3 linked regions of the Nothobranchius furzeri genome follow. The protein of the gene in region 1 interacts with the protein of each later gene in a pairwise test. Links are inferred from orthologs where the notes say so. Each region holds a gene or a part of one and is shown in the gene's direction. Other genes may lie near its edges. The genes, in order: exoc8, mbip and wash1.

Region 1 (10,450 bases):
AAAAAATGTAATAAAACCTTTTCAAGCTTTCTGATTTCAAATTAAAAAAACTGTTTTCAGGTGTTTTCTTCTTTGACTCGTTGATCCAGAGCATCCACAGTTGACAGCAGAGCCATCTGTGCCGTCGCACCATTCCTCTTGCTCCTGGTTCAGCTCGTCTTTTCAGTGGAGTCTGAAGGGCGTGGTCCAAATCAACAGCTGGGCCTCGTGCAGTCTGACCTCTGACCTCACCCACCAGTGAATGGGATCGGCTGTACTTAAGCCTCACTGTGGTCACAAGGGTAAAGGCCTGGATATTAAAAACCCATCAAAAAACTAAACCTAAATGAAATTGGATCAGAATATTCAGGTAAAATGAGCAATAAAATGGTTTTATTTAGTTATTAAAATCTCAGCATACAAATAAACGAACAAAAACGATCACTCTACATCTTTCTGTTCCAGGTCTCACATCACTGATGAGATCTGTGTGTGATCAATAACTCTGCAGCTGAGTCCAAGTGAAGGTGTACAAAGCAAAAAGCAAACGGAAGTGAAATGTTAGCAGCAGAGATCTGTCCTCTGGAGGAAGCATCAGACATCAGAACCCAAAATAAACCCAGTGACCTTCAGAAGAACTCTACTCCCTCTGCAAACCTCCTACACCTCAGACAAAGAGGGTCTGACTACATTATAAACTTATTTATTCAAGTAGAAACCAGCTTTAAAAACATTTTAACAAAACCCTGCTGTTCTGTAAATGCAGTTGAGGCACAAGCTGTCAGAGAGCCACTTGAGTTAGAAAATACCTCAATATTACTGTCAAGTGACAAAATATCTGTTAAACTAGAGATTAAAGCACAAAACAGACATCTAAAACTTTGGTTCGTAAAACCATTTAGTTTAAAAGTCCTTCAGAACAGGCAGGAATCAAGATGCTCATTTATCTTTGACTCCTGGACTTTAGTTTGGCACACGGGACAGCTGACCATCAGCACGTTGGCGGCGGCGGAGGGCGTGTGCAGCCCTCCAGGGGGTTGAAGTGATGTGGAGGAGCTGGAAGCTGCAGTAACAGCTGATTTGGTCTTTTCCTGCTCCCTTGATGATGCTGAACTGCTGCTTAATGTCTTGTCAACAAAATCAAAAATGGTGGCCGAGCTGCTGCAGTCATCCCACAGCCTCTCCCTGGGCGCCTGACCTTGGCTCGCTGCCCCAGGTGTGTCGACACCGACAGAGGAAGAATTTGGAGACATTGCCGCTCTTTTAGTCTCTGAGCCTGAGGGATGGCTTGTTGACTTTCTGTGAGTTTTGACATTGAAGAGATCGTGAATGGACCTCTGCTTGAACGCGTCGGCCCCGTGACCCCCAGAGCTGCTCCTAGATTTAGGAATTTTAACAGGTGAGCCGTTAATGTTTACAAAAGCTTTTGTGTTCCCGACAGACGTCTTTGCAGGTGGCTTTCCCCCTGAGGAGGCAGCTGCTCCACTGGAGACGGTTTTGGTTTGGTCAGGAACGGAAGACTTCTTAGGAGTGGAGGCGACGCTGGACGGAGGTGCTGAGGGAGATGTGGAGGTCTGGCACGTCGCTCCTAAGAGGAAACCTTTCCCACTGAATGGGATGATGTTCCTTATATCCTGAGATCCAGAACCTGAGCAGAAAGAAAGAAAGAAATGTTTTTGTATTTGGTCCTGATGGCAAATCCTGAATAAACTACTTAAAAAAATAGAAAAACTTCACCTTTACTTGTATTTAAAGGCTTGCCAGTACGTAAAGTCTTCTCTGAGGTGTTTGCATCCTTCTTCCCATCTTTTTTGCCTTTTTTCCTGTATCCTTCTGGCTCTTTGATCTTGGTGTACGTCCCGCCACACATCCTTTGATGATCCTCCCACCAAGGGTCCAGAGAAGATGGAGCTCGGTTGATAGCCCTCTTCACATAACCAAAGAAAGGCCTCCGGCTCTGGCAGGGCCCATTGCACCTCCACCAGTGCTGCCTGTAGACATCGACCTCATCATGGAAGCTGTGGTAGATCTGACCGAGGGACAAGAGGAGATTGTTATCGTAAAGTCAACCAAAACCACACAGAGCTGAAGGAGAAACACTTACTGTGATTTTCGTCCCACTGGCCTTGTTGATCCTGTTCATGTGTTTGCAGAACTCAGGACCGTGGCCTTCTCGGTCTCGGTTGTTCTGGGTCACAAACAGCAGTGCATGAATCATTTCATGAAGGAGAGTCTGTGGAAACAATCAAATTAACAAATTATTAGCAATAATCTGGATGAGGATTTTCTGTCTTTAAGATCCACTAATGTAAAGTGACCCATCCCACCTCCACCAGGTCTTTTCTGGGTCTCAGCTTCAAAAGAGGCTCACTGAGCCGGATGGAACAGAGTCCGCCTCGGCCTTCGTAAGAACACACACCAGCACACCTAGGTACGGAAACACACAGGAGGCATTTTCTCAAAACTCTGTTATTCCTGTAACACAGCGCTGGAGTGGAGGACATCAAAACAAGAAACAGGACACATTTTATACAATAGAGAAGGCCTTAACATTGCATAGAAGCACAAGGAAACCATAATAGAGCTTCATGAAACTGGACATTTTTTGCTTTTTTAGAAATTATGTTTGACATACTTTGTGTCAGATATTTAGTGGTACCCATTTGTTTAATCTTTTACCTTATTTTTCTTCAATAATGATGTTTTTCCAAGCATCTCGCGCTTTGTGGCTACCATATTTGAATCCCAGTAAAGCCAACAGTGTTTATAAACATCCCTGCTGTAGGAAATCTGGTGAACAAACAAAACTTACAGTGTCATTCTGGGGCTCCACTTCACCTCGACTCCGCTCAGTTTCCCCCAGAAGAACAGGCTATTAAACTCCAGAAACATGGCCCTCACATCTGGGTTTGGGTCCAGCATCTCCCAGGACTCATCCACGATGCTCAGGGGTTTCTCAGGCTCGTGACCCGGCTTCCAGGAGGGGACAGCAGCGCTGCCACCTCCGGCTGCTTCCACTTTCCGTCTCTTACTGCTTTGTTCGAAGTAATTATCCTCGAATCTATTTGATGAGGTTAATGACGTCTCGTACTCATTATCGAACTGCTCCTGTAATTTAATGGCAAGCAGGAAATCCGCATCCATGACATCAGAAGGCAGCTGTGCTAGCTTGTTAGCTGACTTGCTAATGTAAATAGCACGAAGTTCTGGAACAAACGACGTCTGCAGCCTAATTATAAAATCAACCTTTCAGAGAAACATCGGTAAAAGGACTGAAGTCATGACTTTGAAAGATGAATCTCATCTTCTTGTCAGCCAAAGGTATCTGTAATAATAGTCGGTCTGTCCACAGCTCGCGCCAAACAGCAGGTTTGCTACATGTACTACATTACAACGAGTCTCTTTCCGTATGAACTTCTAAATAAAAAACTACTTCAAACTTAATTTCGTGTTTGATTTGGCTTTCCCCGCTTAGTTTTGTATCTTATTTTAATCAGCAGATGACTAAAATTAGCTTGTTTAAACGCTGTTGAAAATCTGTAATGTTTCTGCAGCTACCGTAAACTTCCGGTAGGTAAATAGTTGGACAACAAAACACCTATTCCGGGTGTTGTTCAATAGCCCAGTAATCAGTAACAACTGCAAAATAACAACACACAAAAAGCAAAATGAGTAAATAAATAAACAGAAGCTTTAAAATAAAAATAAAACATTGTTTGGTTTACCTGAAAGATCAATAACAATTTTGTTCTGAGTTTTTGTTGATCATCCTTTTTGTTCTCCCTTCTCGTGACGTTCATGTGACGTTGACAACCCGGGTGTTGGAGAAGCCAGATCCTTTTGGGGTGTTGACCTGTTTTCAGCTTCCTGTGTTTGTTGACGTGGATATGAAGGCGCTCGTTCTCTGTTTGCGTTTCTCGTCAGTTTGTTAACAGTTTTGCTTAATAAGGAAACACGCAGACAACCAAAGATGTCGGAAACCGGGAACCGACTTCGGAAGCTGCTGGAATCGCCCAACTTCGATCCACAGAACTACGTCAAGCAGCTGTCACAGCAGTCGGATGGCGACAGAGACCTTCAGGAGCATCGTCAGAAAATTCAAACTCTGGCTGATGAAACGGCCCAAAACCTCAAGAAGAACGTGTACAAGAACTACAGACAGTTCATCGAAACGGCCAAGGAGATCTCCTTCCTGGAGAGCGAGATGTACCAGCTGAGCCACATCCTCACCGAGCAGAAGAGCATCATGGAGAGCATCACTCAGGCCTTACTGTCCACAGACAAGGACGAGACCTCCAAAGAGATGCAGGCAGCGTTCCCCAAAGAGACAGAGGACCTGAAGCAGAGGACTCTCACCTCACTGCTGGAGAAGGTGGAAGGAGCTAAAAACATCATGGACACCCCAGGGAGACACCTGGTCTACAATGGAGACCTCGTGGAGTTTGATGTGGACAACATGTCCCCCATCCAGAAGGCTCATGCTTTCCTGATGAATGACTGCCTGTTGATTGCCACCTGGCTGCCTAACCGCAGAGGCACAGTGAAGTATAAATACAATGCCCTGTATGATCTGGAGAGCTTTGCTGTGGTCAACGTAAAGGACAACCCTCCCATGAAGGACATGTTCAAGATTCTCATGTTCCCAGACAGCCGCATCTTCCAGGTGGAAAACAGCAAAGTCAAGAAGGAGTGGCTGGAGATCCTGGATGAAACCAAGAAAAAGAAAGCCTCCCAGGACAAACACAAGAAAGAGGAGGAGGTCCCCACCTCTCCCGTGCGAGCCGAAGTGTCCAACAACCCTTTTGATGTGGATGACGACGAGCCGGCAGATGCCGAGGAGAGTGTGGACCTCAGTCTCGAGTGGATCCAGGAGCTGCCCGAGGACCTGGATGTGTGCATCGCTCAGAGAGACTTTGAGGGTGCAGTGGACCTGCTGGACAAGCTGAACGAGTATCTCAAAGACCAGCCTGCGACCCAGACGGTGAAAGAGCTGAAGGCGAAGGTGGATGAGCGTGTGCGGCAGCTGACTGAGGTCTTGGTGTTTGAGCTGTCTCCTGATCGGTCGCTTCGTGGTGGACCTAAAGCGACCCGGCGGGCCGTGTCCCAGCTCATCAGATTAGGTCTTTATTTGTATTAATAAGATCTCACAGACCATTAAAATGTTGATTTCCCAAAACCAGTAAACATTTCAACACAAAGCCAGAGTAGTCCTTGGAGAATCCATGCCTGTAACAATTTAAAGTTATATTTCCAACAGTTGATGATGTCATTTCTGTGTTTCAGGTCAGTCCACCAAGGCTTGCGAGCTGTTCCTGAAGAACCGCGCCGCGGCTGTCCAGACGGCCATCCGGCAGCTCCGCATCGAAGGAGCCACGCTGCTCTACATCCACAAACTCTGCAACATTTTCTTCACCAGCCTGCTGGAAACTGCCAAGGAGTTTGAGACGGACTTTGCGGGGAACACGGGCTGCTACTCTGCCTTTGTGGTCTGGTCCAGATCGGCCATGACGATGTTTGTGGACGCGTTTAGCAAACAGGTCAGCAGAGGCTCAGCGATGTCCCTAACATGAGTCAAGAAATATGTTTCGATCATTATTCTTGATAAAAAAAAAATCAAGATCAATTATTGTTCCAATTATTTCAGAAAATGATTCAAAACGGCCAATTTTCTGTTTTCCAGGTGTTTGACAGCAAGGAGAGCCTGTCGACAGCAGCAGAGTGCGTTAAAGTGGCCAAGGAGCACTGTCAGCAGCTGACGGAGATCGGCCTGGATCAGACGTTCACGCTGCAGTCGCTGCTGGTCAAAGACGTCAAGGCAGCCCTGCTGAGCTACAAGAACATCATCATTGAGGCCACAAAACACCGGAACTCTGAGGAGATGTGGAGGAGGATGAACTTGATGACCCCTGAGGCTTTAACTAAGCTCAAGGTCGAACAGCCTTCCTTAATTCCCAATTTTGTGTTTGTTTCTTTTGTTTGAAGAAGAAAACTAAAGAAAATGCGGGTGTTGAGCAGCATCTAAGGCTTTTCTCTTCGTCTTGCAGGATGAGATGCGTAGCTGTGGGATTAGTTTCCAGCAGTACACGGGCGATGACTGCTGGGTGAACTTGAGCTACACCATCGTGGCCTTCACCAAGCAGATGATGAGCTTCCTGGAAGAGGGTCTGAAGCTCTACTTCCCCGAGCTGCACATGGTGCTGCTGGAGAGCCTGAGGGAGATCATCCTGGTGGCCGTGCAGCACGTCGACTACAGCCTGCGCTGTGAGCAGGACCCCGAGAAGAAGGCTTTCGTCCTGCAGAACGCCACCTTCCTCCACGACACCGTGCTGCCAGTGGTGGAGCGGCGGTTTGAGGAGGGTGTGGGGAAACCGGCCAAACAGCTGCGGGACCTGAGGAAGAGCACGAGGCCGGTGCGGATCAACCCAGAGAGCACCACATCCTTAGTCTGAGGCCGACAGGAGCTTCGACGGCTCGTTTAACAAACCGCGTGAGACTGAAACGGCGGCCGGTGGCCACTCCCCCCTTCCCTCCCTGTCATTTCACCTCCCCCCTCAGACCCGATCCACAACACTAACTACTGGGTGTTTAGATGCTGCAGGAAGGAAATGATGGTAAAATGAAAGAGTCAGTGATGACACAGTCGGACGTTTTATTTAAAGTTAAATTTTCCTGCTGCAGCTTGTTTAGTTCTCAGTTCTTCGGGTTAATAATCCATCATACAAAACGCTTCAGTCCAATGAAAGAATAAACCGACCTCTGCTGGTGTTTGACCTCGTTTACGTGAATATTTTATCTTACAAGGGATTCCTTATGTTAGCAAAACATCTGGTTTTAGGAACGTTTAAACGCGTCAAAATGATTGTATTTTTATTGTCACGTAAAGCTTAAACACACGAGCATGTGACGTGGGGATGACTAAAATTAGCACTCAGATATTCTGTTAAATTGTGGTTTTTGTCTGCAACCAGTAACCTTGTTAAACATACTGTTAGTCTTTTTTGTTTTTAGTATAAATGGGAACTGCAAAGTTTTTTTTTTTGGGGGGGTTGAAATGGGTCCCATTTATTCACACCTGCAGCTTATGCATGCAAATCCATTCAAATCCAATAAAACATGAAGGTTGCTGTTTAATTTTAACAATAAGAAGAACAGAAAATGTAATTTGCAATAAAAACTAAAGTTTAAACTTCACAGAAGTTTCTTTTTCATGTTTTTTTTCTTTCAGAAACTACAAAGTAAACGTTTCTGGTAAAAAAGATCAAAGGTTTAGTGGTTTGAAACGGCATCCTTATTTACAGCTCTTTCATTCCTTTTTGCTCACCTACTAAAAGTCAGATTTAGATTTTTTTTAAGCTTAACGCATTAATTTATGCCTTTGTGTGAATGGCTCACTGTTTATGACTGATTATTATAAAAGTAAAATAAAAATCACTCATAACTGATAGGTAAAGTATAAGTGAAGTGTTATGGGATCATAATTGCTCAAATGAAACTAGGGTTAAAAAAAAGGCTTTTAATTGTATTTCAGTGCCTGATTACGAATCCTAGCAGTGAGATTTGTCGCCCTCTTGTGGCAGAAAAATAGAAATTAGGCTTTCGTTGCTAAAAATGCACAGCTTTACTTTCAATTTTGTGGTTAGTCTGCTAAAAAAACAGCATTATTTATTAATTTGGAGCAACAGGGGGTTTAAAATGATGTAGAATATTATTAATAATAAAGAAACAATATTATTTTAAGCTATAAGCACTAAAATGTCATATTCGTTAACTTACTTTTCTAACTATCTATCTATCTATCTATCTATCTATCTATCTATCTATCTATCTATCTATCTATCTATCTATCTATCTATCTATCTATCTATCTATCTATCTATCTGTCTATCTATCTATCTATCTATCTATCTATCTATCTATCTATCTATCTATCTATCTATCTATCTATCTATCTACATATATATATATATATATATATATATATATATATATATATATATATATATATATATATATATATATATATATATACATATATATATATATATATATTAGTTCAATAGATATTTTTCAATTTTAGTTTAAAACATTTAAATTAATTTAAAATATGAGATTCAAAACAATTTAAAGGGTTGAAAAGCTACATTTAAAGATTAAAGAAGGAAAAACCTGTGCCCACAGAGAAGGATCCTGCTGTGAGACGGGTCTAACTTGTACTGAAATGGCCTTCCTAGGGTTCTACAACCACCCAAGGCGCTTCACAACTCAATCAGTCATCACCCCTTCACAAACGTTCACACGCTAGTGGGGATGAGCTATGATGTAGCCACAACTGTCCTGGGGCACGCTGACAGAGGTGAGGCTGCTGGGCACCGGCACCACCAGTAGGCGAGGTGGGTTAAGTGTCTTGTCCAAGGACACAACAGCAGCATTCTCTGTTAGAGCCAGGATCGAACCTTCAACCTTCCGATTGCTGGACAACCCTCCCTGCCTCTCGAGTTACAGCTGTATTATTTTATCAGAAATAATTCCCCTTCAGAGTCATAGGCTCAGTGTGGTGCTTTCAGGCATTTTCTCTCTGCTTTGCAGCTCATCTCATTAAAATCCCTGATATGATGAAGTGCTCGAGGAACGCCTCGGGTGACGTCACTGGTTTATTCCCAGAGAACGAGCATCAGGGTGGTGAGATTTTCTGGGAGGAATTCAAATTCTGAAAGAATATGAAGTAAAATTCATGTCATAAACATCAGTTTTTTTATTACTAAGACTTATGTATGCAGAAGTTTGAGCACTTGAGGAAACACTTCTCCATATGCTGGTGAGGGTTCTCAGTCATCCAGGCCATGGTAATCCCAAAGGTTCAAAAGGCAGCTGGACTTTTTTGGTTTCTTGAAGAAGTTTCGCTTCTCATTCGAGGATTTTTTTGTCAGTTCTGAGGTTCTGACTATAATACAGGAGGGTCATGCTTATAAACTGCTGTCTGTTGTTTCTTAACGAGCTGAAACAACACACGAATACCCCTTCTCCCTATTCCCAGAGGAGTCTTGATGTCATTAAGACCTATTGTGTCAGAATGATCTTTTTGATTAGATGCGAGAGGGTGCGACTGGTTTAGAGCTGCAGATCTCTATATCTGATGTTCACAGTTGATCAAAGTCCATTTTCCCAGTAAAACCATCACTTTCTCACGTTATGGTTATCGTTAAGTATACTGGGTAGATCTTGGTTATGTAAGTTAGCGCTAAAATGACCCTTTGCAGGGTGAATGAAACGTCTCTCAGACAAAATGTGGCCCCTATGGCCTGATTACCGCTCTTGCAACTTCAGAGTTGCATGTCTGATCCCAGTTGGTCTGCGCAAAGAGGAACTGACAGGCTTGGAGCTAAAGCATTGATGCCAGCATCAATAGCTCTATGGTAGCAGAGGTGCCAGTAAATGCTGTAACATTACAGAGAAAAGGGTAGCAACATAGTAATTACTAAAATATCGTCATACATTTCCATCAAACCACTTCTGGCCTTAAAGCGTCCATATAAAGCATCAGGATTAGTACCTTCATCATAAACCTGCTATTTGCTTTATTTTAAGTGTCTACTGCCCCCTGGTGGAGGGTCTACACATGGCAAGGAACTATTTAATATCTTTTTTTAATTGTAAATAAATAAATGTTATTTGTATAGCACTCATCACAGACAGAAAATCACGAAGTGCTTCACATAAACAAAACTAAACAAAGCATAAAGTCATCAAATCATAATGATTTGTATAATAGAACTACATAATACATTAAAACAGGTTTTTATATAAATAATAAACAATGAACACTAAAAATTCCTGTTTTAAATACTAGATATTTAAACTATAATTTCATATTCCTGGCTTTGAAGGGTTGAATGTAATGAGACATGTACATAATCATGCAGTGAGGTACACAGACGCCCACCATCACTCATTTCACAGGGAAACGGGTCTGAAAGGCAAGCAATGAGATGCTAACAGTACTGATAAATGGAAAATCTGTTCCAGTGAGTGAGATTAAAGCCGCTCCCCTGAGGGACCCCGCTCTCTGCTGCCGTCTACGCTGTCGGGTTAACACGAGAGGCCAATGAGAGCAAACACAAAGGTCAGCCGATCGAAGGGCCTTCACTCGTTTCCTCGTTTGTCCAGAGTCGCTGCCAGGATCCATCTGAGGGTGGTTTGGTGCAGAAAATGCCTCCACCTCCGCCCGTAACTAACGCAGCTGCAGAGTTTGATCAGTCCCATCCTTCTCATGGTTGTCATCACTGCTGACATAATGATGTCACCTAGGCCTCTCTGTTCTCTGAAATGAGGAGATTTCAGGATAAACTGACTATGAAGGAGTGAAAATATTGTTTCAGATGGATGGGACGTTAGTTTAGAGTTTGGTACTTGTCAGGAAACTTCAGTTTTTAAAAGCCCACTCAGATTGTTTTTAAAAAGTCCACTCAGAGTC
Region 2 (10,593 bases), on another chromosome or scaffold:
CCATATATTTAATCAGCACACTGACTGGGCAAGAAACATTCACCATATCTCAATGCATCTGCGTCTGCATCCCACACTGACATCACAGATCTGAATCAAATTCGGGGAACCATCTGTGGATCTGTTCGCGGCTCGCGAAAACGCTCAGTGTCGCCTGTGGTTTTCCCTGAGTCCCCGGGACCACCCCCCCCCCGCTTGGTGCGGGCGCCTTCTCACACCAGCCCTGGCCTCAAATGCTCCTATATGCATTTCCGCCAGTCACACTGATTCCCCGACTCCTGGACCAAGTTCGGTCGGAACAACTCTCGGTAATTCTGGTAGCTCCCAGACGCATTTCCGCATCATGGTTCCCAGACCTATAAGCGCTGGTGTCCGGCTTCCCGTGGAGGGCGGACGCCCTTCTCCAGGCGGATGGGAAAATCAAACATCCTCCAGAAATAGGCCAACGGCTGTGGGTCTGGCGGCTGAGCAGTCACGCTTAGAGGCTTCTGGGCTGCCGCATGATGTGGTCGCCACGATTCAGAGTGCGCGGGCACCTTCTACCGTCACATCTTATTCTGCTAAATGGGCAGCTTTCCAAAAGTGGTGCACAGAACGGAATGTTCAAGCGCTCTCCTGCCAGCTGGCGGATGTCCTATCGTTTCTGCAGATACTGATGGACAGGGGCCTCGCATTCAGCACTATTAAAACATATGCTGCAGCTATCTCATCCTGTCACCAGGGTTTTGGAGATAGATCTGTTTTCAATCATCCCCTCACAAAACGTTTTCTAAAAGGTGTCAGAAGGAACAGACCTGTGTTCCGCCCGCTATTTCCCCAGTGGGATCTAACGGTGGTTCTGCGCAGCTTGTCTGAAGCCCCATTTGAACCCTTGGACCAGGTCTCACTCAAGTTCCTGTCACTTACAACTGCCTTGCTGCTGGCACTCGCATCAGTCAAGAGAGTGAGCGACCAAACCGCCCTCTCAGTGGCTCCCGCATGCCTCAGGATCCGGGAAGATGGTGGGTCTGCTGTTTTATGCCCCAACCCAGCCTTTGTGCCCAAAAACATTAATACTTCCTTCAAACCCAGGTCAGTTTCATTGGCTGGACTTTTTCCTCCTCCCCATAATTCTGATGAGGAGGCGGCTTCCCTCCTTCTCTGCCCGGTGCGCGCGCTCGCACGATATGTGTCACGCACTTCAGGGATTTGCCGCTCACAAAGCCTGTTTGTGCACTACAGAGATTTTTCCCTGGGGCAAGCGCTGTCGACCCAGCGTCTTTCACACTGGCTGTGTGACGCCATTTCACTCGCTTACACATCATCAGGGCGGGATCCTCCTGAGACACTCAGGGCTCACTCAGCCAGAGGGATTTCCTCTTCTATGACGCTCCACTGTGGTGTATCGATGGAAGACATTTGTTAGGCTGCTTCATTGGCTTCACCCTGTTCCTTTACTCGTTATTATTTACGAGATGTGTCTTCATGGATCCATCATTCGTTCAGTGCTTGGACCTCAGCAGGCTGAGTAAAAGCATTATGGCACCACATCAGCCCTACTTGAATGAATTTCATCCTCTTGTGGATGATATTTTAGTGGGAGCCCCACTCTTCTCTCTGGCTGCCTCAGCCTTTTAAGCCCTGGACTGAGGCTGAACGACCCTCGCTAAAAGGAGACATGTTGGGTGTGTCCATTTGGTTGAGCTAACCAGTGTGGCGTAAACCCATCCAGCTGCGCATTATTCCAATAGCAGCTAGCTTAAGGGCTAAGACTAGATGAAATAGAACATTGGTTACATATTCTAACCCCAGATTCTATGAGTCTAGTCGCAGCCCTTAAGCAAATGGCCCCACTGGTTCTGTTAGGATCAAGAGCCATCGGAGGCGAACAGTGGAGTCGCTCCACTTACAGGGGTGCCCACCATTGGTGGGCGTACATTTAAGCTCTTCATGATTGGCTGATGCTGAGATCACCCTTCCAATAGCAGCTAGCTTAAGGTTGATCAGTGGACTCAGTAGTCTCCTCTAAAAAGCAGCTGAAAACTCACCTGTTCAAGCTTTTGTGTGACCTCCAGATGATTTTTCCTCACTAGCTTCTATTCCTGCTGCTACCTCTACCAAATCGGCCTTTCTCATGATCCCATGATTACCTTTTTTTGTTCATTTTTTTTCTTCCTTCACATGTTTTGATCATTTTTTTCTTTTTTCTCAATTTTTTATGATATTTTTACCTTTTGTTTTTTGTTCTTGTGAAGCACCTTGTGATTTTTATTTTGAGAGGCGCTATATAAAAAATTGTTTCTTCTGTTTCTTCTTCTTCTTCTTCTTTAAACTATCCTAATTCAGAACTTTTATATAAACGCATCCATGTTGAAGTTCAAACCAACAACAGCAGTTCCTTCTGAAAATGTTTTGATACGAACACCAGAGCAAATCAATCATGAGCAAATAATGTCTACAGAAGGGGACTCAGGACACACAACTTCTGTTTGAAAAGATTAGGTTAATTTTCACGTTTGTATTTAGTTTCTCACACTTTACATGTTCTAGTACCTCTTCTGCTGTGTTTGGTGTAATTCATTTATTTTCCTGTATTTATTTATCCTTTACACTAAAGTGGGCCAAACCATTTTGTCACCACATTTGCATTTTCACTGTTGCATCTATTAATCACTGAAAAATCTCACCTATTGAAGCTATTTTCACTTTTATTCAAACGTACAAGGATTGTGGAAAAACCCTCGGCTCTGCACTGATTAACATATTGTTCCTATGTTTTGTTATGCTTGACATGCACGTTCCTGGGCTATCATAATAATGTCTGTTCTATGTTTCATTTTGTTTTTATTGCTGAAAATTGGGTCTTATGTGTGTGTTTGAATTGCTGAAGGAAATAAAGATGTAGACTGAAGCTGCATTCTTTGACTGCTGCTGACCGAGTCATATGTAAAAGTATTCGCATATAAAAAAAAGGCTGTTTTCAAATAAATACATCACCAAATTTGGACTGTCTGGTATTTATTTGCACATATGCAAATGAAAAATACATTTAGCTAAATGGTTGTTTATGTTCAATTGATGGCACGACCTGGAAATTCCCGATTAAAACATGCAATTACAAAGTATTGGTATTTAATTTAATATATGATGATGTAAGTATTACCTCTTCTGTTCTTTATGATTTTTCAACTAACAAGATAGTGAAAGATCAAGTCAGACCCTTAGCTAATGAGCATCTGCAATTTGGCTTCAAAAGTTAAATTCAACCAAAATGCTCTAAGTATTTTCCAAGAAGTACCTTAAATCACATATACAGCTCATTAAAAGGGTAAAAAAAATTACAGCTCTTGGGTCTGCAGCCAGGCAAATTAAATGAGCAGTGTATTTAATTTCAGAGCTCCTCGCTGTGTGGGAACATTTAGCAACTGCTCAGCATGTCAAACCATGTCAAGTGTTACAGTTCTCTTCCTGTTTCACGGGAAAAAATATCACCCTACAAATGAATTAAGCTAAAAAGGCTTATCTTCAGAGCCCTTCCTAAAATGATTAACCTTTCTAAAGAGCATTATTGAGTTCTGAGTGCATGGTTGTGCCGTCTCTTTGCCTGTAATTGTTCTTTTTCTGTTGTTTCCTTCATCAGTCTCTCTCTTCATTATATGAAAAGAAGTGAAAAATGTCTGAATAGAGAAGGGAGATTTTCCCACAGTCACTCAACTCAGAGAAATACACCATTGTGGGCAGGTTCCCATCCCAATGCCCTGCTGCTTGGTCCTCTGCAGTAAGAAGCACAGTGTGCTTATAATAAGGAGCCATTCTTTGTGCTGTTTGAGAAGCAGGTGAATGAAAACGTAGGCAAATGTGGCTTGGACATGTCAGTCAGTATTGTAAAAATGTAGACAAGTCCATTTAAACCAAGATTTAAAAAAGAGTTTAAGTCATAAAGCACCTCAAAAATCAGCACAATAAAAACATTAGTAGTTTTTTAAGAATAAAACTTATTTTATATGCTTTATACAAATAAGACATGACCTTATGAGCATCCTCTGAGAAAAGGCAAACAAATATACTGAACCTAAATAATATGTCCATTTCAAAAGTTAAAACATTTTCTGTTTATTTTTCTCTGCTGTTTTTTAAACTATTGTTTACTTTTTTGTTATACTGAAACATATTTCACAATTTTAAGCATCTGTACTAGTTTATTAAATAGTTTAAATTAGTAAAAGTTGACTTTTGCTTTCTGAATGAGCCTTCTAGAAATTAAATCTCCACAAACAAAAACAAAAGCATCTTTCTACCTATGATGAGCCCTCTTTAGGATCAAACAAAAAAAACTATACAGGTTTTTTAATGTTTCAGAATCTATTTAAAGATCAAAATTCTGAGCAAAACACAGTAAATCATTTATTTTTGTGCTTTGAATTTACTTTCATGCGCTACTGTTAATGCGCATGCGTCATTTTAGCCTGCAGTTCCACCAACCACGTGATTAAAATCACCGTCTCGCAACCAATGAGCACGCAGTATTCCATGAGTTTGAGTAGCAATGGCGGAGACAACGAAGCTAAGTGAGAGCAAAGCTCCTCCCAGCGAACCAGCTAAAATGTCCAGTTACAAACACTGCATGGACGCAATACTGGGGCTGCTTTCAGACTTTGGGAAAGAGGTTGGTGTGAAATGATTCAGCTGCTTCGCTCCGAATAGTCATTCCAGTCTGAGTAGTTTCCTAGCGGTGTGCTAATGTTTTTAGCAACTAGCCTCGTCGGTTCATGTTCATTCACTGTCCGTTAATCAAGTTTTTGCCGTAGGAAAGCGTCAGCTCGATGGTTTATATCTAAATTAACAGATTCAGTTTTAATATTTGTATTTCTGTGCAATAAAAACATGTCCAGACTTTTGTGTCACACGTCAGTTTAGGTTCAAATCACGCTTATTTTCATTTACCCTCTTTTTCCATATAGTAAACGTTCACGGTTTTTGGCATTTTTACGCAGTATTATGTAATTTTTGGTCCTGCAGGTAAACGTTTATTGATGCCACTGTCCACAACGCATTTCTACCTTAGAAAATATATTTAACCTTGCTCTATTTCCCCCCGTGTTTACGTCTAAATTATTAAAATTGCTGGATGCTTTAGCTCTTTTCATACCCAGGGCTTCTAAAGGGACATTAAATATATGTATTCAGTCTTATATACACTGTTTTTTTTTGCTAAATAATGGTTTAGTTTTTCTAGCACAGCAGAAAGGTTCAGTGTAAAACAATAAGATTATTTAATTTGACCGTTTATAGAAGCAAATTATGAAAAATTGCTTCTTTTTTAATTACCAAATTGTTGGTTAAATTACTTAAATTATTTAGCATTTTCTGCCTCTACTATTTTGAACTATATATTTTTTATTTAGCTGTGGTGATGTGTACTTGATGAAACTCTTGTTTATTTTCTCTCAAAGCTGAAATTAGGGGATGCTGCTTTGAGAATAGAGGTCAACCCTGGAGCTGTAGTACTTTCGTCATCTTCAGAAGCAGGTGTTTATGGCTGTGTACAGCAGCACATTGCTAAGTTGCAGGTAAGACATTCACCCGTTGGTTAATTTATGTTACATATGACTGCAATATCTAATAAGTGCCACATTTACAGTATAATTGATGGTCACTAGTGTTGTAATTAAAGAAATAATAACACTAATTTATAATGTGTTTGTAGCAGTCAGTGTTCTTTCTGTTTGGCTGTAGGCTGTTTCAGAAAGCCTGAGGTCACTGGTGGAAGCTGATGTTACATCTGTGAAGGAAGACACGGCGGATAACATTGTCACGTCACTATCATCCGAGCACCGGCGTCACAGCTCAGAGGCTGCAGACTGCGGGTCTTCGGGCGATGACGTCATGGTTCAGATCCGAGCCGGGAAGTCAGAGGTTGGTCATTGTCAACAGATCTGTCAGCTGTTCTGGCACTGATATTTTAGAGCCCTTCACACTCTGTCAAGCAAATGAATAATCATAAGTAATTGGTTCCAAGGATGTGCACATGATGTGCAGCAAATGCTTGATGGAGTTCTGATACTGGGTTTGACAGAGAATAAAGGGTTCTGTAGTGCTGTGGTGGGGTAGAATGGACCACATTGCTGGAGGGGTTTGAGAGAGGGCCAGGTCCTTGATGGATTATGAAGTGGATGCTCATTACTCTGAGATTGCATGTGGATGAAGGACAAGAGGCCCCATTCTGTTGTGCATTTATTTTGGTAGCCAGGCAAACCGTATTCTTATTCCATCACATGATGACGATAATCTATTCAACTGTTTGGGCTATCTGGAATAATTTCTCTCACTGTGTTTGATATTTTTTGAAACCATAAATCGCTGAACTTTGTTTACTCTAAATCAGTAAAAATAAGTCGACAAAACATTGAATTCTTCACAGCTATCAGTGGCTCATCAACCCGTTGTGTCTTATTATCTGTCTTCTCTGTAACTCCAGATCGAGCGAAGAATATCTGCATTTATGGAATGCAAGCAGATGGAGATCAATGAAAACAATGTGCGCGAGTTTTGCAACGTGATCGACTGCAATCAGGGTGAGAACGGAGGAGAGATTGGGGGGCAGGGTGGAGAGGGAGGCTGCACACAGATTGCCAATGTTTGGGAGAGAGCTGATTTCCACAGGCGAGAGGTCAGGCTGAACTGCTCCAAGAGTGGGCCTGAAGTAGCTAACACACTCGGCCTTGAAACGCAACCTGCTCTGGCCAGAAAAACACCAGACACACAGGCTGTTTGAAATTCAAAGCTTGTGTGTGACGCCAGTAATGGAAATCAGACGAAGTTGCAGTTCAAGTGTGGTGTATTCATTTCTAATGTTTTTTTTTATGACTATTTTCTTCTTACATTTAGAAAGTCTAATTACACTTTTGTTTTGGATTTGATTCCTTTGTAGAAAACAGCTGTGCCAGGACGGACGCCGTGTTCACTCCTTACCCAGGCTTTAAAAGCCACATTAAAGGTAAGAAAAGGGGACTCTTTGTTGCTCTTACGTTCAAAAATACACTCATCATCACTAGCTAAATTATTTTTGTTAACAATTTGGTAACAAGCATCATGGATGCTGTGTGATTTCTGTAATGTGCATCATTTAAAATTTGGTTGGTTCATCCGAGTCTGTGATTATTCTTTGGTTGATCAGTTTCACGAGTGGTAAACACTTACGGGCCCCAGACTCGTGGCGGGGGGCGCCAGGGAGAGGCTGCAGAGCATCATAGGGGGGCAGCTGCAAGAGACTGTGGAAATGCAGCCATAGAGGAGCGACTTCAGAACATGGAGACTCACCTGAAACTGCCGTCAGGTGAGAGAAGAGAGACAAGTGATGCGTCACACATCCTGAATAAAACTGTACAATACAAATAATATAGATATTGTGACATGATGAGCACCTTTTTTTATAAAATATCAACAAGAACATAAATTCTTGATGTTTTTCTTAAGTCACACAAAAAAGAGTTAATCACACTCAAAGATGCACGGATTCTAATTTTTATGGCCGATACTGATTTCTGAGTTTTCACTACTCTAACCAACCAATGATAGTGATGGTGTGTTCATGGACTAGGAAAAAAAAAACAGATTTTATTTTTTTTGTCTTTAACTTGAACAAACTGGGGGAAAATCTGATTCTCAGGTGCTGGGTTGACTGATCACCTTGTCATGTTGAATATTGGCTGATTTAAAACACCAGATGATAACTACGTACATATTTTTGGGGAGAATCTTGTCACACGATGATTTCTCTCCCTATTTTCTGGGTTTTGTTTTAGTCCTTTTTTTCCCAGTCTGGTGTATGGAACATATTATATTTATGTTTTATTCCTCAGTGGGTCCGGTTCCTCTGACCGTCTACCAGCGACTGAAGACGTTGGAGGATCGAATCCTGGAGCTGGAGGGACTCTCTCCTGAGTACTTTCAGTCCACGGTGAGTCTTCTGGATTAAACACACAAAGCTTTTTCAGATAACATTACAGCACAGAGATCTGCATTAGAAACTAAACTTAAATGATGACAGTTCACATAATGTAGTTCAATGCAAATTCAACCAGTGCTCTCTTAGATTTTTATTCTGTGCAAATCTTCATCTTGGAGCACTTTTAGCCTCCCCTGACGTTCACAGATATTACCTCTAAAGCAGTTTGCTTCCATTTCTCCGTAACTTTTACTTCATTGGTCATTTTTTGTAAAAGACGATGTCTGGACCGCCCTTTAGGTGGTTTAACTTATGTGAGTTATTTGTTTTTGAATGTGATAATGTGGGAATGAGGGAGATATATAGTACATTGATGCAACATTCCTGAAGCAAATTTTAAGTCTGAACAGGTTTTAGGTTTAGAGACAACAACAGGTGATCTTGAGCTTCTATGGTAATAAGTAGTTAGAATATCTGCTGTTTTAGGTAGAGTCCACTGAACTGCTACACTTATGTGAGAAGTTTTAGTTATATTTGAGTCACACGAGGTATTTGATGTAACTACAAAAAAGTTTAAACTATTGCAAAGTTTCTTGTTTCAGTTTAAGTATTCTAATTACCTTCCTGAGCTTTTCTTTGGTTTGCTGTTTTATTTTCATCTGGGGCTCATGAACTTAAAGAGCAAGTCACCCCCTACCAGAGTATTACTTCACTCCCACTTCCTGTTTGAAAAATGCAACAAATGCTGTTGCCTAGCAGACAGAGAGGGCGGAGCCACTAACAAATGCACACAGGCTCACAACGACATTGTGACATCATATGGTACCAGCTAACGTCCTAGGGTACCTCTTAGCCAATAGCGATGGCAGATTTAAATTCAAATGCAGTGCAGAGTTTTTACCTGACAACGGCACAACATTGACAGTTTTAGGCAGAAAATTTAAATTTTAACTAAGATGCACTAAAGTGCTAAACTGTTGACTACATGTGTCTGCAGCACGATTAGACATGCATTTATATAGTTTATCAGAAAAAAAAGTTGATTTGGGGATGACTTGCTCTTTAAACCATTAGTGGTTCAAATGCTTTAAGGAAATGAATATTTTTCTAAAATTATGTCGTGATGTCTTTTTAACACTTGGTATTGAAGCCGGGGCTCTGAAAAAAAACTAGTCTAAGTTGAATAGAATCAAATGTTACATTGAAAGAAGTCGGCCTCCTATAGGAGGTAAAATCTTCATTTGTACATAAACTCCTACCCAAGTTGTTTCTCTTCTTTTGCCCATCGAGACAAATTCCAGTTTCCTGCGACAGATCTGCCTCTAATTAGAGAGAAAATCTGTTTTGACAAAAACATTTTTGAACACGTTTGAAGTTTCAGTGACGTGTGTGAGGAACCCAAGAACCCTTTCAGTTATTTAGTGAATGTTTTTGTCACCTGCAGCTGCAGCCTGGGGGTGTTGGATTATCCCTTTATTAATGATCGTCTCTGACACACATTTAGGTCACGGGGGACAAATGAGTCCGACGCAATGGCGATTAGTTGCAGAGATCCATTGTGTGGCTCTGCTGTTGGACTTGATGCTGAACCCACCAGAGTCCCAGACTCTAATTTAGTGAACTAAAGCAGCCTGTCCAGTGTGTTAGCTAGCTAAGTGTGCTTGAGCTGCTGCGCATCTCTTCATACTGGTATTTCTCAGCACAGCACGCTGCTTCTGTGAGAGCGCTGCTCTCCATCTGCTTTTGACTCACTGCATGTTTGTGTGAGCAGAGCAGGAGATGTCGAGTGTCTTTGAATAAACGGATGAAGATGGGGGTCTTTTATGTTTGAATCCCCCTCCCTCCCTCTCTCTCTCTTTTTTGTTTTTTCGCTGTAGTTTGGTGTTTGCTGAAAAGCTGCACTCAGCTGGCCCAGGATTTCAGGAACAACATTCTAATACTCGGCAGTGAAGCGAGGCGCGGCTCCATAAGGAATACTGGAGGGTTTTGTGCTTGCAGTGGGATTAAATGATGGTTCTTCAGGCAGTTCAGGTTTACCCAAGGTCGTTCCCTGAATTCTAACCCCCGCAGCTCCGTTTACAGCCTCTATTGTGATAATATCAAACAAGAGCAAAATAAATCAGAATTTCTTTAAGTCTTCTGCTTCTTTTATAAAATGTTTAGAATTCTGAGTCCGTTTAGAAAGCGCTTGAGTTGAAATGTTTGGTTATGTTTCAGACACATCTACACAAGCGACTAAAGATGTCTCCTGCTCAGGTTTGCGTCCTCCTGCTTTTATTCCCTTTTGTTATTATTTTGTTATGAAAGCTCAGCTGATCTCGTGTTTTTATTTCAGGCCTGTAGTCTGACAGAGCTGGATGAGAAGATCAGCACGGTGAAGGCAGCGCTGCTGAAGAGGATGAGTGAGTTTGGACCCAGATTTGGCCCCGATTGTTCGCTCTGATGCACAGACAGACACGCCGGAGGTGTTACTCTGGAATTAAATGTGCTTTATTTAATTATCCTCACCTGTTATCACAGTTCTCCAGTAAAAACCAGTGCAAAGATCTAGTTTGTCTTAGACTATAAACAGCAACAGTGTCTGTATTCTGATTAATGTAAATGCTGACTGATGCTTTTAGTTTGGAGTTTTTATAAACCAGCATGTGTAATAAAACAGTCTGACG
Region 3 (10,547 bases), on another chromosome or scaffold:
TTATTAAAAGGTGGTTCTTGCGATATTTTGCTGACAAAAATGAGTGACTTCTATCATTTTAAGCACATATATTGCATGCTGTGTGGTGCTATATGCACTTGGAATGACTAGCCTACTGCAAAACCTGATTTCAACTCCGTATTTGTAAAACTCTGCTCACTTAAGGCGATGCTTTTGTTTTTTAAGCTCAATTTGCTGATAAACCTTGAGTTGGGTTGAAGCCCAAGGTTATTTATTTGTATAATAACATCCAAATTAAATCTCCCTGAGTTCTTCCATCAACATCTGTCCAGTGGTTCATGAAATAATCTTGCTAAGACCACATCCGGTTCCACAGATGCATACAAGTGAAGCCATACTGCAGAGTAAGCTTTTAAAGAGGACAGAACGCTGTGTCTAGAATGGATGAGAGCATAATCTGGGATGTGTAGTAGAAATGGCAATACAATTAATCATTTCTTCTTTCTCCCAGGTATTAATATGTCCTTTTTTTTTTTTTTACATGTTTCTTTTTATGGTGCTCCCCTCAGTGGGGGTGGAGTCCCAGAGAGACCAATCAGAGCTCCTGCTGAGATGAAACTTATATGAGCAGAACTCACATACAGGAGAAAGGAAGATGTAAATCATGGGTTTTCTCTCATTAGGTGATGTTCTGTAAAGCTCTGGTGCCATGCAGGAGTCAGGACTAACACAGCAACATCAGAGACCCGGAAATCCCGTGAGAGTTTCCGAATCCCGTGCTGTAATTAACGGAGAGGCCATCAGCACCATGGACAGTAACTCGAGGTGTCTCATCACCCCCGCGCACTGCTTTCTCAAACTGACACTAGCCAATGCTTTACGCATGCACTCACACGCGCGCGCGCACGCACGTCCTCGCGCAAAGGCCTACAGCTGTTTGTTATGTAATGATCCACTGATCGTGATCCAGTTTCTCATTTAAATAATCCAGCTCTCCCGACGTAGTCCTTACCCGACAGACAGCCGAGAATTGGAAATTTGCAGGCAGCATCTTCATTAATTAAACGCCTCTCAGTCTGTGGAACGCGCGCGTGCACACACGCACTTGATTGCACATAAGACGGATGATGCTCATCGTACTAGTACAATAAAGGACTCCAAATGGGGTATCTCATCCAAGAAATTAATGTCAGAAAAGTCAGAGACTTTGGGGAATAAAATTGAGGGCCTTTTGAGGGGGGTCGTGAAACAGTCATGAACTGAACAAGACTAAATAACCAAAAAAAATCTGTTTACTCACTCGGATTTCCTTGCCAGGGTCAGGGATCGACAAAGGGTTGTTGGGGTCATTGGAACCAACGACCGGCAACTGGGACAACTTCCATTCTCTGTCTCACTTTCTAAAGGCGAAATAGTGGACAGGTCTGCTGGGACTAGCTGCATGTCCCCTGGGTCCAAAGGTTGGGCCGGAGCCGCCTCGATCTGTGCTGGTGTGGCTGCATGGTCCGGCAGAGACCCCCCACCAGTCTTAAGCTGAGGTTCCTGCGGGTGGTGGTGATGATGGAGACAGCTTGGGTCCGGGAAATGATGGTGGTGAAGATGGTGAAGGTAGGGATGTTGTACCCTGACGTCCCTCAGGTGTCTGTTCTCACCGATGAGCTCGTCCACTCGCCTGTCCAGTTCCTCTATCCGAGCGCGCTGGGTCTGGATGAGACTCTGTTGGTTCTGCACGATAGTGGTGAGTTCCCGCAGGTACAGAATCGCCTGCACCGGGTTTTCTAACAAGCTGGAGCTCATAATGTCCGAGGCAAGAGGAGAGAGGAGAAGGAGAAAAAGAGAAGCTGCTGGTCTGGAGGATGGAGGGATGAGTAGGTGCAGATATTTGTGTGAATGAGAAGGTGGATGTCCTTCAGTTATTCTCTCCTCGACTGTGCTCGGTTGTGGATGAAGCTGCACCGACCGAGCACTTCTCCGGTCGCTTCCCTCCCTCCCTCACTCTCCCACTGCGCTGAGTGGTGCTGATGAGAGGAGCCAGATCCAGATGTGACAGGAAGGAGGGGAGGCGCTGGGAGACAGATGCGTCATTACACACAAAGATAAAGCCAGAGTAAGAGCGCACCCTACTGGTTTAAAATGTGGCTGCGGTGTTGATTTGTTTGATATAAACTAAAAATTGCAGTCAGGATTTTTTTGTTTTTGAAGAGTTAAAAATAGCTTTTAATTACCCAAAACCATAAGCAGATAAGCTTTTGTCAGTTTTATAATTCCTGGTTTTGAATGACTAATTAGTTTATTTATGTATGTATTAGTTAACGACAAGGGATGATGAGTGCTTAAAATGATCCCAAGACAAACGAGGTAATACACTGGCGCCCATTTAGTTGCAGAGATTTACACCAAAGAGAAAACACAATTTATGGCGTATTAAACACTGCTAAATTTGATATACATAAACATTGACGGTTCATTTGGATCGATAATAAACAGAGATATACATTTTATTTGAAAGTAATGCAAAAATTGTTTGGGTATCAAATGTTTCAAAAATCAAAAGCATAATATCAGTAAAGGCAAAAATGACTCAAATATCTAGTTTTATGTGCTTATCCAGTGGTTCTCAAATTAGGGTTTGTAACCCCTCCGAGGGGTCCATACAAGATAGCAAGGAGTCCCCACAAGTTTGTCAGTGCTGAGGTCGTGAGTTTACCAAGATTATATTTGTAAATACTAAATTGATAAAGTCTCAGTAACACACCCTATAGTATAATCAAAATTCTGGTGTTACTATAAAGTTTAGAATTAATCAACTTTAATGAGTATATGCGGATAAGGGTTGGAGTTAGGGGGGTCCTGACTTGTCTTGGACCTATAGGGATGGAACCAACGACCGGCAACTGGGACAACTTCCATTCTCTGTCTCACTTTCTACAGGCGAAATAGTGGACAGGTCCTCGAGGAAAACAGGTTGCAAACAACAGCGTTTTTCTTTATTTTATAAAACACTCGTGAATTGTCTTTAAGCCATGAACCATATTTTTCTTTCCTACTCAACATTAAGTCAACAGTACGTCACTTCCGATTTCGAAATTGTTTCAAAATCAAACACATTGCATCCACTTTCTTCTGAATCAGGCACACTTTATTAAATATTTATTCTGCGTCAAAACTAGAGCTTAGTTAACTACATTTTTCTCTATTTACTATTAACCACTTTTGTCTTTTATTTCAACATTTCATTTAAATTCAATTCAATTCAAAAATACTTTATTAATCCCAGAGGGAAATTGATTGCTGTAGTATCTCAGAATAATAATAATAATAATCAAGTCATCAAAGAGTTATTGTATATTACAATGGCTGTTGGCAGGAAGGATCTCCAGTAGCGGTCAGTGTTGCAGCGAAACTGAAGAAGCCTCTGACTGAAGGCACTCTTCTGTTGTCTGACAGTCTTGTGAAGAGAATGCTCAGGGTTGTCCATAATTTTCTTGATTCTCTGGAGAATCCATCTTTGCATTATCTCCTCCAGCGGTTCGAAACTGCAGAAACTCTGGCTGAGTCCTTGAAAGGGCTTGGAGTTCCTCTATCTTGTCGGCCAGTGATCTCACATTGCCCATTATGATCGATGGAAGAGATGGTTTGAATTTCCTCTTTCTCTGTCTCCATTTTGCTCCCGTTCTGCATCAACGCTTCTTGCGTTTTAGCTCATTTGGGATTTGTGGCTTCAGTTGAGGTATTATTTCAGCCTTTCCAATGTTAATCAGCTGCTCCCCATTGTAAACAGCTTGTTGCCATGGTTACGCATCATAACAAATGCTCAAAAAGTGAAAAAGCTAAAAAAAAGCAGTAAAAATCCTCCAAGCTTCACAGCACCAGAAACAGAAGAGTAAAGTGTCCAAAAATACAGTTTTTCTTGAGAAACTAGAAAAAAAATGCCCAAGAAAAGGCAAAACTTACATATAGTCAACAGAGCTACTCCAACATACAGCCACCCAGAGCAGCGCAGTTGGGATTTACGATGCATTTACATTCACAAGTCCAGTCTTCTAGGTATTATGACCTCTGCCACACCACAGAAACCACCGTACTACAATAATCGACTGTGATTCTCTGGAGGCAGGCGGTGCAGATTTGCAACAGTTAAAACCTACCTACCTGGTTACTCCACATATGTATTTCATGAACATTTTTTAACTCAGAAGTACCCCTAAAGGACGTAGTTGTTCATCCTTTTATCAAAACTTATTTTGAGCCTTAGAGGGTTAATAATAAGCACATTAGGTTTGAATTTTAAACTATCCGAGCTACCATGAAGGCAACACCATCGTTTTCTACATGGTCACATGATACAGTGATGCGGAAGTATGAAACCGATGTTTTGCTAGGCTATCTTGTAGTCGATCTGTAAGCTATAACAGACAACTAAACTCCTTTAAACTCTATATTTTCTTCGAGGTTTTTCTCAAAGTGTCTTTAGGAAGAAATCAAAATCCAATGGTGAGGTAAGGATATTATTGTCAGTGCAACGTCGTTATCGGGTGACACCTTCGGTAACCAATATCTCACTGTTTCATTAGTTGTTTTTTGTTTGTTTGTTTTTTGGAGTATATTTCCAAGCAGCAGCTGGCTCACATATGTATTAGCTGTGGTCCATTTTGCTAACTTGAGATGATTAAGCCCGGGAAATAAGAAAAAAGTAAAAGTATTAGTTCTTTGTGAGTCTTCGTCATGTGAGTCAGATGATGGGTTGTTGCTAGATGAACTGTTCCAGTTCCCGTGATGACTTTCTTACACAAACTTGGTATTGTGCTTCTCTTTGTGTCAAAATGGCTTAATTAAGTTTTCTAACCATTTCCATTTTTAAATGACTTTTTATCTCCTGGCTTTCCCAAAAGCGTGTTTAAAATCTCCAAAATTACTGCTTTTAATTGAGTGATTCAGTATTATTTTCGTCTGCTCGATCTGAAAGCATAAACCAACAATTTCTGCTATTTATTTGGGGTTTTGTAAGTTATTTTGACAAATCATGAAACTCTGGCACAGATTTACTGTGTCTGTGATGTTTGATTCACTGCAAGACGAGTTGATTAGTGCTTTTCACCTCATATGTTTCTCCCATAAGAGGTAGTTCCATGTGTTTTGCACGCAGCTGGATGTCTAATCGATTACTAACCTTGCTGTTGCACCGCTGCTTTGTAGGATGACACAGAGGCACTGCCTGGAGGGCCAGGTGTACTCGGTGCCCCTCATTCAACCAGATCTGAGGCGAGAGGAGGCTGTTCATCAGATAGCAGACGCATTGCTGTATCTTGAGTTGATCTCCACTGACATTTTCAGAAGGCAAGCATGTGTGCGCACACATACGTTCAGATTTTTCTGAAAACATATCTATAAAGCTACAGAGCTCCAAAAGAGAGTAATTGGAAGAAAATATTTGGGTTTGTCTTTATAAAGTCTTGCTTCAGGTTGAAAATTCCGCTTCCAGTGGGAGTGATTTTTGTTCCTATGTAAAAAAAAATGTAGTTGGTAAAACATAATCAATGCAATCTTTATGAACGAGTTAAATACACAGTTTGAGACGTATTCAGCTTTTATTTATAGTTTTGTTTGTGTTCTATTCCTGTTGGTGGTGCCTTCAGGGTTTCCGAAAGCGTAGAGAAAAACCGACGCCAGCTGCAGAGCGTTTCTGACCGTATCAGACTAGCTCAGGCCCGTGTTGACAAGATTAAAGGCAGCAAGAAGGCCACCAAGGTAACAGCAATTACCGTTTAAAAATTTTAAAATCCAAGATGAAACAATCCTAATTTGACGCATTTGTTTAGGTTTTCTCCAGTGCCAAGTACCCAGCCCCAGACCATCTTCAGGACTACTCATCTATCTTCTCTGGGGCAGTGGACCCTTCCTCACAAAACCGTCCCCATCACAAGATACAGAATAAACTTCGTCCGTTTGATGAGAAGGCATGGCAGGTGGGATAAAGTGTTCTCTAGATATGTAAATGGTTTGAGTTGCTAACATGTGAATTGATGTTTATGGCCAATTAGATATTTGTATTAAAATGTGTAATTAATGAAGTGGCCATTGAGTTTATGTTGACATTTGATTTTCCTTTTTTTTTTTTCTTATTAAAGTAACACTGACCAGCTTCCTGACCCCCTGCCCTACTGGTTGCAAGTGGGATTACAACTTTTGTAAACAACCCTGCTGCAGCCAATTGTAGCTAGCGCTAACAACGAGCTAGCATTAACAAGAGCAAGCTAATACTAAAATAAACCACCAAGTAAAAAGATCCTATTTGTTGAACAAAAAGTATTATTACAAGTCAAGTAACAAAGCTAGGTCACCATCAGTTTGCAATTATGTAACCTCCTTTAGCTCTCTCTATTGTAGGTCGTGCCAATGTTCTACACAAAAAAGTAAACGTCTTTTTTTACTTTTTCTTGTGTTTTTTTATTGACAATCTGCAAACTGAAAATGCTAACTGCTAGCATAACAGCTGACAGCTGTGAAGCAGGTAAAGAGCTCCCCTTATAGGGCACCTACCTACTCCACCAAACTGTTAAGTGCTGTTTCTGGTCAGCAGTGGGCTGCAGAGTGGTGTTCAGGGTGAAGATGGTGAAGTTTATTACTCACACAGTCACTTAAACCCACTTTTGATGGACTAGCTTAAACTGTTTAGAGTTATTTTAAACTGTTGTTCCGGAGAACGAGGAGAAACTGTAAAATGGCCAAAGTAGATTTTTACGAAGGTGGGGGTCCCATAAAATTAGATAGAAAAAAGAAATTCATATTGATACTGAAATTCTTTAAAAATCAGACATTGTGATTTCCTGGAGTTTTTTTAGCTTCTGTTTCTCACAGTTTGAGTAGCTATGATGAAAATTAGACTCATCTCGTCTTTTTAAGTGGGACAACTTGCACAGTCGGTGTACTGTGTTAAAAGTCGGAGCTCATGAGTCCTTTCTTCATTCAAATCGGATCCAGTGATTGGGTTAGGGTTAGATTTGCAAATTTGTTCAAGCATCGTGCCAAGCAGTGAATTTGTCACCCATTGAACATGCAGGAAGGATATCAGCAGCTGTGTGTCACTTAGCAGGGAAATTGGCTGTAAACATGTGAATGTGTGTGTGTGTGTGTGTACATGCCCCAGCTCAAGCTTTTGCATTATTTAAAGCTAAGCCCGCAGTTTATTTTTTATTGCACCATCTCGGCAAGAAAAGCGAGCATGTTTGCTGCTGTGTAGTTTTTGTTAGCATATGTGTGTATTTGTCAGACTGAAAGAAAACACAAGACAGTTTGCTTTGGTGCAGAAATGTATTATTCAAGAACCTCCAGAATTCGAAGTGTCCTCATTGGTATGATTGTCCGAGTTAGAAACGCTTAAGTGGCGTTGAGACGACGTTTTACAGATCACCCATAAACACACGCTATGTCTTCATCGTCTCCTTCCAGGAGAAGCTAACGTATTTCCCAGTGTGTGTGAGGAATAAGAAGAAGTCTGAAGATGAGACAGAAGAGGGATTGGGCAGTCTGCCTCGGAACATCTCATCTGTTAGCTCTCTGCTGCTCTTCAATACTACCGAGAATCTGTGAGTCAGCATATCGTTTCTGTGGAAACCAACTGTGTTAAGATCAGTCTCTGACTTCAGTTTTGTGCTTGTTTTTATTTATTTTATTTTTAGTTACAAAAAGTACGTGTTCCTCGACCCTTTGGCGGGAGCAGTGACAAAAACACACACCACGCTGGAAACAGAGAAAGAGGGGAAACCCTTTGATGCTCCTTTGTCCATCGCACAGAGAGAACAACTAGAGCGACAGGTGTGTTTTCATTATAAAATCAGAGATTTGATCAAATATTCCTATACAGACTTAATCTTGCTTTTAATTTTTAATTATTATTATTTATTTTTTTTACAGACAGCAGAAAATTATTTCTACATGCCAGATCTGGGTCAGGTTCCTGAGATAGACGTGCCATCCTATCTTCCTGACCTTCCAGGTATCGCTGACGACCTGTCGTACTGCGCTGACCTCGGACCTGGGTTCGCTCCATCAGGACCAACGCAGAACATCCCTGAGCTGCCCTCCTTCTCTCGGGAGAGTACTGCATCAGGTACACTCCGCACACTCGTTCAGCTCATCTTTAATACATTTTATTTTCTATAGAACTCACATTTCCCTTCATGTTGTTTGTTTTGTTTCAGGAGATCTGCCCCAAATAAACTCTCCTCCTCCTCCCCCTCCGCCTCCTCCTCCTGCCCTCACTCCCACAGCTCCTGCTGGAGCTCCTCCACCACCACCACCACCTCCACCACCACCACCACCACCTCCTCCCATAGAGACAAAAGTCGATAAAGTTCCAAGTTCAGGTGCGTCACCTCCGTGTAATTCAGACGAATCAGTGTCAGTAATCAAATCCTTCGTTTCCACCTCGCAAACGCACACCTGATGAATATTAACTCGTTTGCTCCCTTCTTGTAACAAATTGGCCTTCAGGAGTGAGATTTTAACTGCAGTCCTGACTGATTGCAGGCCCGGTGTCCGGCGCTCCGAGCGAAGTGGTGCAGCCGTCAGACGGCCGCGCCAGCCTGCTGGAATCCATCCGCAACGCCGGCGGCATTGGCAAAGCCAAGTTACGCAACGTTAAAGAACGCAAGATGGAGAAGAAGAAACAAAAGGAGCAAGAGCAAGGTATGGGACTCATTACAGCTCATTTATGCTCTTATTTATTGCTCTTAAATGTTTTCAAGGACAATTATTAAAAGATCGAGTTGCAAATATCATAATTTAGCAACTCTTGTTTTCTAGCGGTCAGAGCAGCGTCGAGTGGTGGAGACTTCATGTCTGACCTCTTTAACAAACTCGCCATGCGTAGAAAAGGTGAGACGTTACTTTAGAGTGATTTAACAACACTAATGTTGGAGATTTTATTTGGCTGATGCACCTCCTGGCTTCACTTCAGGTATTTCTGGAAAAGTCCCAGCTGCTGGAGAGTCAGAAGCTCCTGCTGGTACGGGAGGAGCGTTCGCCAGGATGTCAGACGTCATCCCGCCTCCTCCAGCTCCACAAACGGCAACAGACGATGACGACTGGGAAGCATGATGCACTAAACAGCAAACAGGGACTTTTGGGGGGATTTAGCACATAATTAGGACATTTCAATCAACAGGCTTCATGATTTTAATGCTAAATGTGTTCAGTCATTTGTCTAAAGCTGAAATAAACATAAACACACAATAGTTAGAATACTTTATTGATTTCTTAACAGTTTGTATTCAAAATATCACTTTGTTATTTTGATATTAAAACATCTGAGTGAACCAGTCAGATCATTACTAAATGAACAACTGGATAAATGTGTGTAGAAGCTCCTAGTTTTTCATTTCACTAACATTTAAATTATTAAACCCGAAAATGACAAATGTTCCTTTTATCTGCAATGTGCCATTAAATTACTTCCATTCTTAAATTTTAAACCTTGACAAGGAACATTTAAATAAAGTGATAAATCCAAAAGCCTGGTTGCTTGGTGTCTGCAAGAACGCCTTAAAAACACAGCATTTGGAGTTTTGTTGGGAAAGAAACTAGACTTGCTTCTGCTTTTTCTCCAAAAAGAACTGAAGGAAGAAAAAAAAACAAAATGAACTTCGTGTTTTCATCATTTAGCACCAAGTGTTGATATATTAACTGCTTCTCACCTTCCGTAAAGCGGCGAAAGCAGAACCAAATGTCGTGTGTATGCTGGTGCGATCCTTGATCCAAGTGGGAAGCTTTGAGCACGTCGTGGATCGGGAGTAACGTCTGTCACAGAGAACGATGGAGGCGTAGTCGCCACGGTGACGAATTGCCCTTCCTTTAAAGAGAAAAGATCCCAGATGTGTCAACCAGGCTCATATAAATATTCATGACATCTCAGATAGTTGTCGTCATCATCACCTATAGACTGATTGACAGCCTTCATGCAGAGGTTTTCCACCAGAGCTCTTCCAGGGCTTCTCCCATCAGTGTGAGGCTGGAAAATAAAAAAAGTAAAATTTCTCTGTGGGCTCATCTTTTATATTCTTTACGGTTTCTCCTTTAGTGTTTTAAATTAAAACATTCAGAGAATCATCAGACCAGGTGTTTGTCCAGATAGGACATCTTTTCCTGCAGCTCTGGGGATTTGATGTTGGGATACGGCATTCCTACCATCACCACACACCTGGAGCCATACACACAAACGGTAACATGTATGTTCTAAACAGGATGCAACAGCTGCTTAACTAAATAACACAAACCTGCCCAAGTCATCAGAGAAATTGATCCCCTCGCTCATCTTTCCTCCAACCACAGAGAAAAGTAATGCTCCTGTGAGTCCAACGCTGCCTGAAGCACACCTCTGAACCCAAAAGAGACACGTTTCCATCACTGATGATGACATAAACACGATTACCACCCAGGTAGGTCAGATGTTTACCTGGATGCATTTGGAGAACTCGTTTAGCACCTGCTCCACCTGGCTAGCTTTCTTTGGCTCATGGAAGATCTGAGGAGGAGTGTGATCCATTTAAACTTGTAGAAAACTGTTTTAATTTAAATAACATTTTTAA

The links.
Region 2: the proteins of exoc8 (region 1) and mbip interact in binary tests that used the Homo sapiens proteins (3 or more experiments, as listed by UniProt). The two-hybrid records come from large-scale screens. The link is inferred for Nothobranchius furzeri from reciprocal best matches to the Homo sapiens genes EXOC8 and MBIP.
Region 3: the proteins of exoc8 (region 1) and wash1 interact in binary tests that used the Homo sapiens proteins (3 or more experiments, as listed by UniProt). The link is inferred for Nothobranchius furzeri from reciprocal best matches to the Homo sapiens genes EXOC8 and WASHC1.

Annotation. Positions count from the first base shown.
Region 1 is NC_091742.1:10,759,909-10,770,358, forward strand, and holds exoc8 (exocyst complex component 8), read left to right. Parts: upstream 1-3,800; 5' UTR 3,801-3,949; coding exon 3,950-5,099; intron 5,100-5,262; coding exon 5,263-5,516; intron 5,517-5,659; coding exon 5,660-5,908; intron 5,909-6,023; coding exon 6,024-6,428; 3' UTR 6,429-6,749; downstream 6,750-10,450. Other genes in the region: DNA-dependent metalloprotease SPRTN, read right to left, coding at 894-1,627, 1,717-2,008, 2,084-2,212, 2,307-2,406, 2,792-3,123. UniProt on the Homo sapiens protein: Component of the exocyst complex involved in the docking of exocytic vesicles with fusion sites on the plasma membrane.
Region 2 is NC_091758.1:21,133,370-21,143,962, reverse strand, and holds the start of mbip (MAP3K12-binding inhibitory protein 1), read left to right. Parts: upstream 1-4,486; 5' UTR 4,487-4,525; coding exon 4,526-4,645; intron 4,646-5,432; coding exon 5,433-5,549; intron 5,550-5,715; coding exon 5,716-5,895; intron 5,896-6,457; coding exon 6,458-6,554; intron 6,555-6,910; coding exon 6,911-6,976; intron 6,977-7,156; coding exon 7,157-7,315; intron 7,316-7,841; coding exon 7,842-7,939; intron 7,940-9,804; coding exon of another isoform or gene 9,805-9,819; exon of another isoform or gene 9,820-9,942; intron 9,943-10,144; coding exon 10,145-10,183; intron 10,184-10,262; coding exon 10,263-10,370; 3' UTR 10,371-10,593. UniProt on the Homo sapiens protein: Inhibits the MAP3K12 activity to induce the activation of the JNK/SAPK pathway. Component of the ATAC complex, a complex with histone acetyltransferase activity on histones H3 and H4.
Region 3 is NC_091744.1:70,582,114-70,592,660, forward strand, and holds wash1 (WASH complex subunit 1), read left to right. Parts: upstream 1-4,288; 5' UTR 4,289-4,452; coding exon 4,453-4,460; intron 4,461-5,157; coding exon 5,158-5,298; intron 5,299-5,597; coding exon 5,598-5,709; intron 5,710-5,780; coding exon 5,781-5,927; intron 5,928-7,410; coding exon 7,411-7,547; intron 7,548-7,640; coding exon 7,641-7,776; intron 7,777-7,875; coding exon 7,876-8,071; intron 8,072-8,162; coding exon 8,163-8,327; intron 8,328-8,490; coding exon 8,491-8,649; intron 8,650-8,766; coding exon 8,767-8,838; intron 8,839-8,920; coding exon 8,921-9,060; 3' UTR 9,061-9,474; downstream 9,475-10,547. Other genes in the region: iqsec3b (IQ motif and SEC7 domain-containing protein 3), read right to left, coding at 1,262-1,758. UniProt on the Homo sapiens protein: Acts as a component of the WASH core complex that functions as a nucleation-promoting factor (NPF) at the surface of endosomes, where it recruits and activates the Arp2/3 complex to induce actin polymerization, playing a key role in the fission of tubules that serve as transport intermediates during endosome sorting.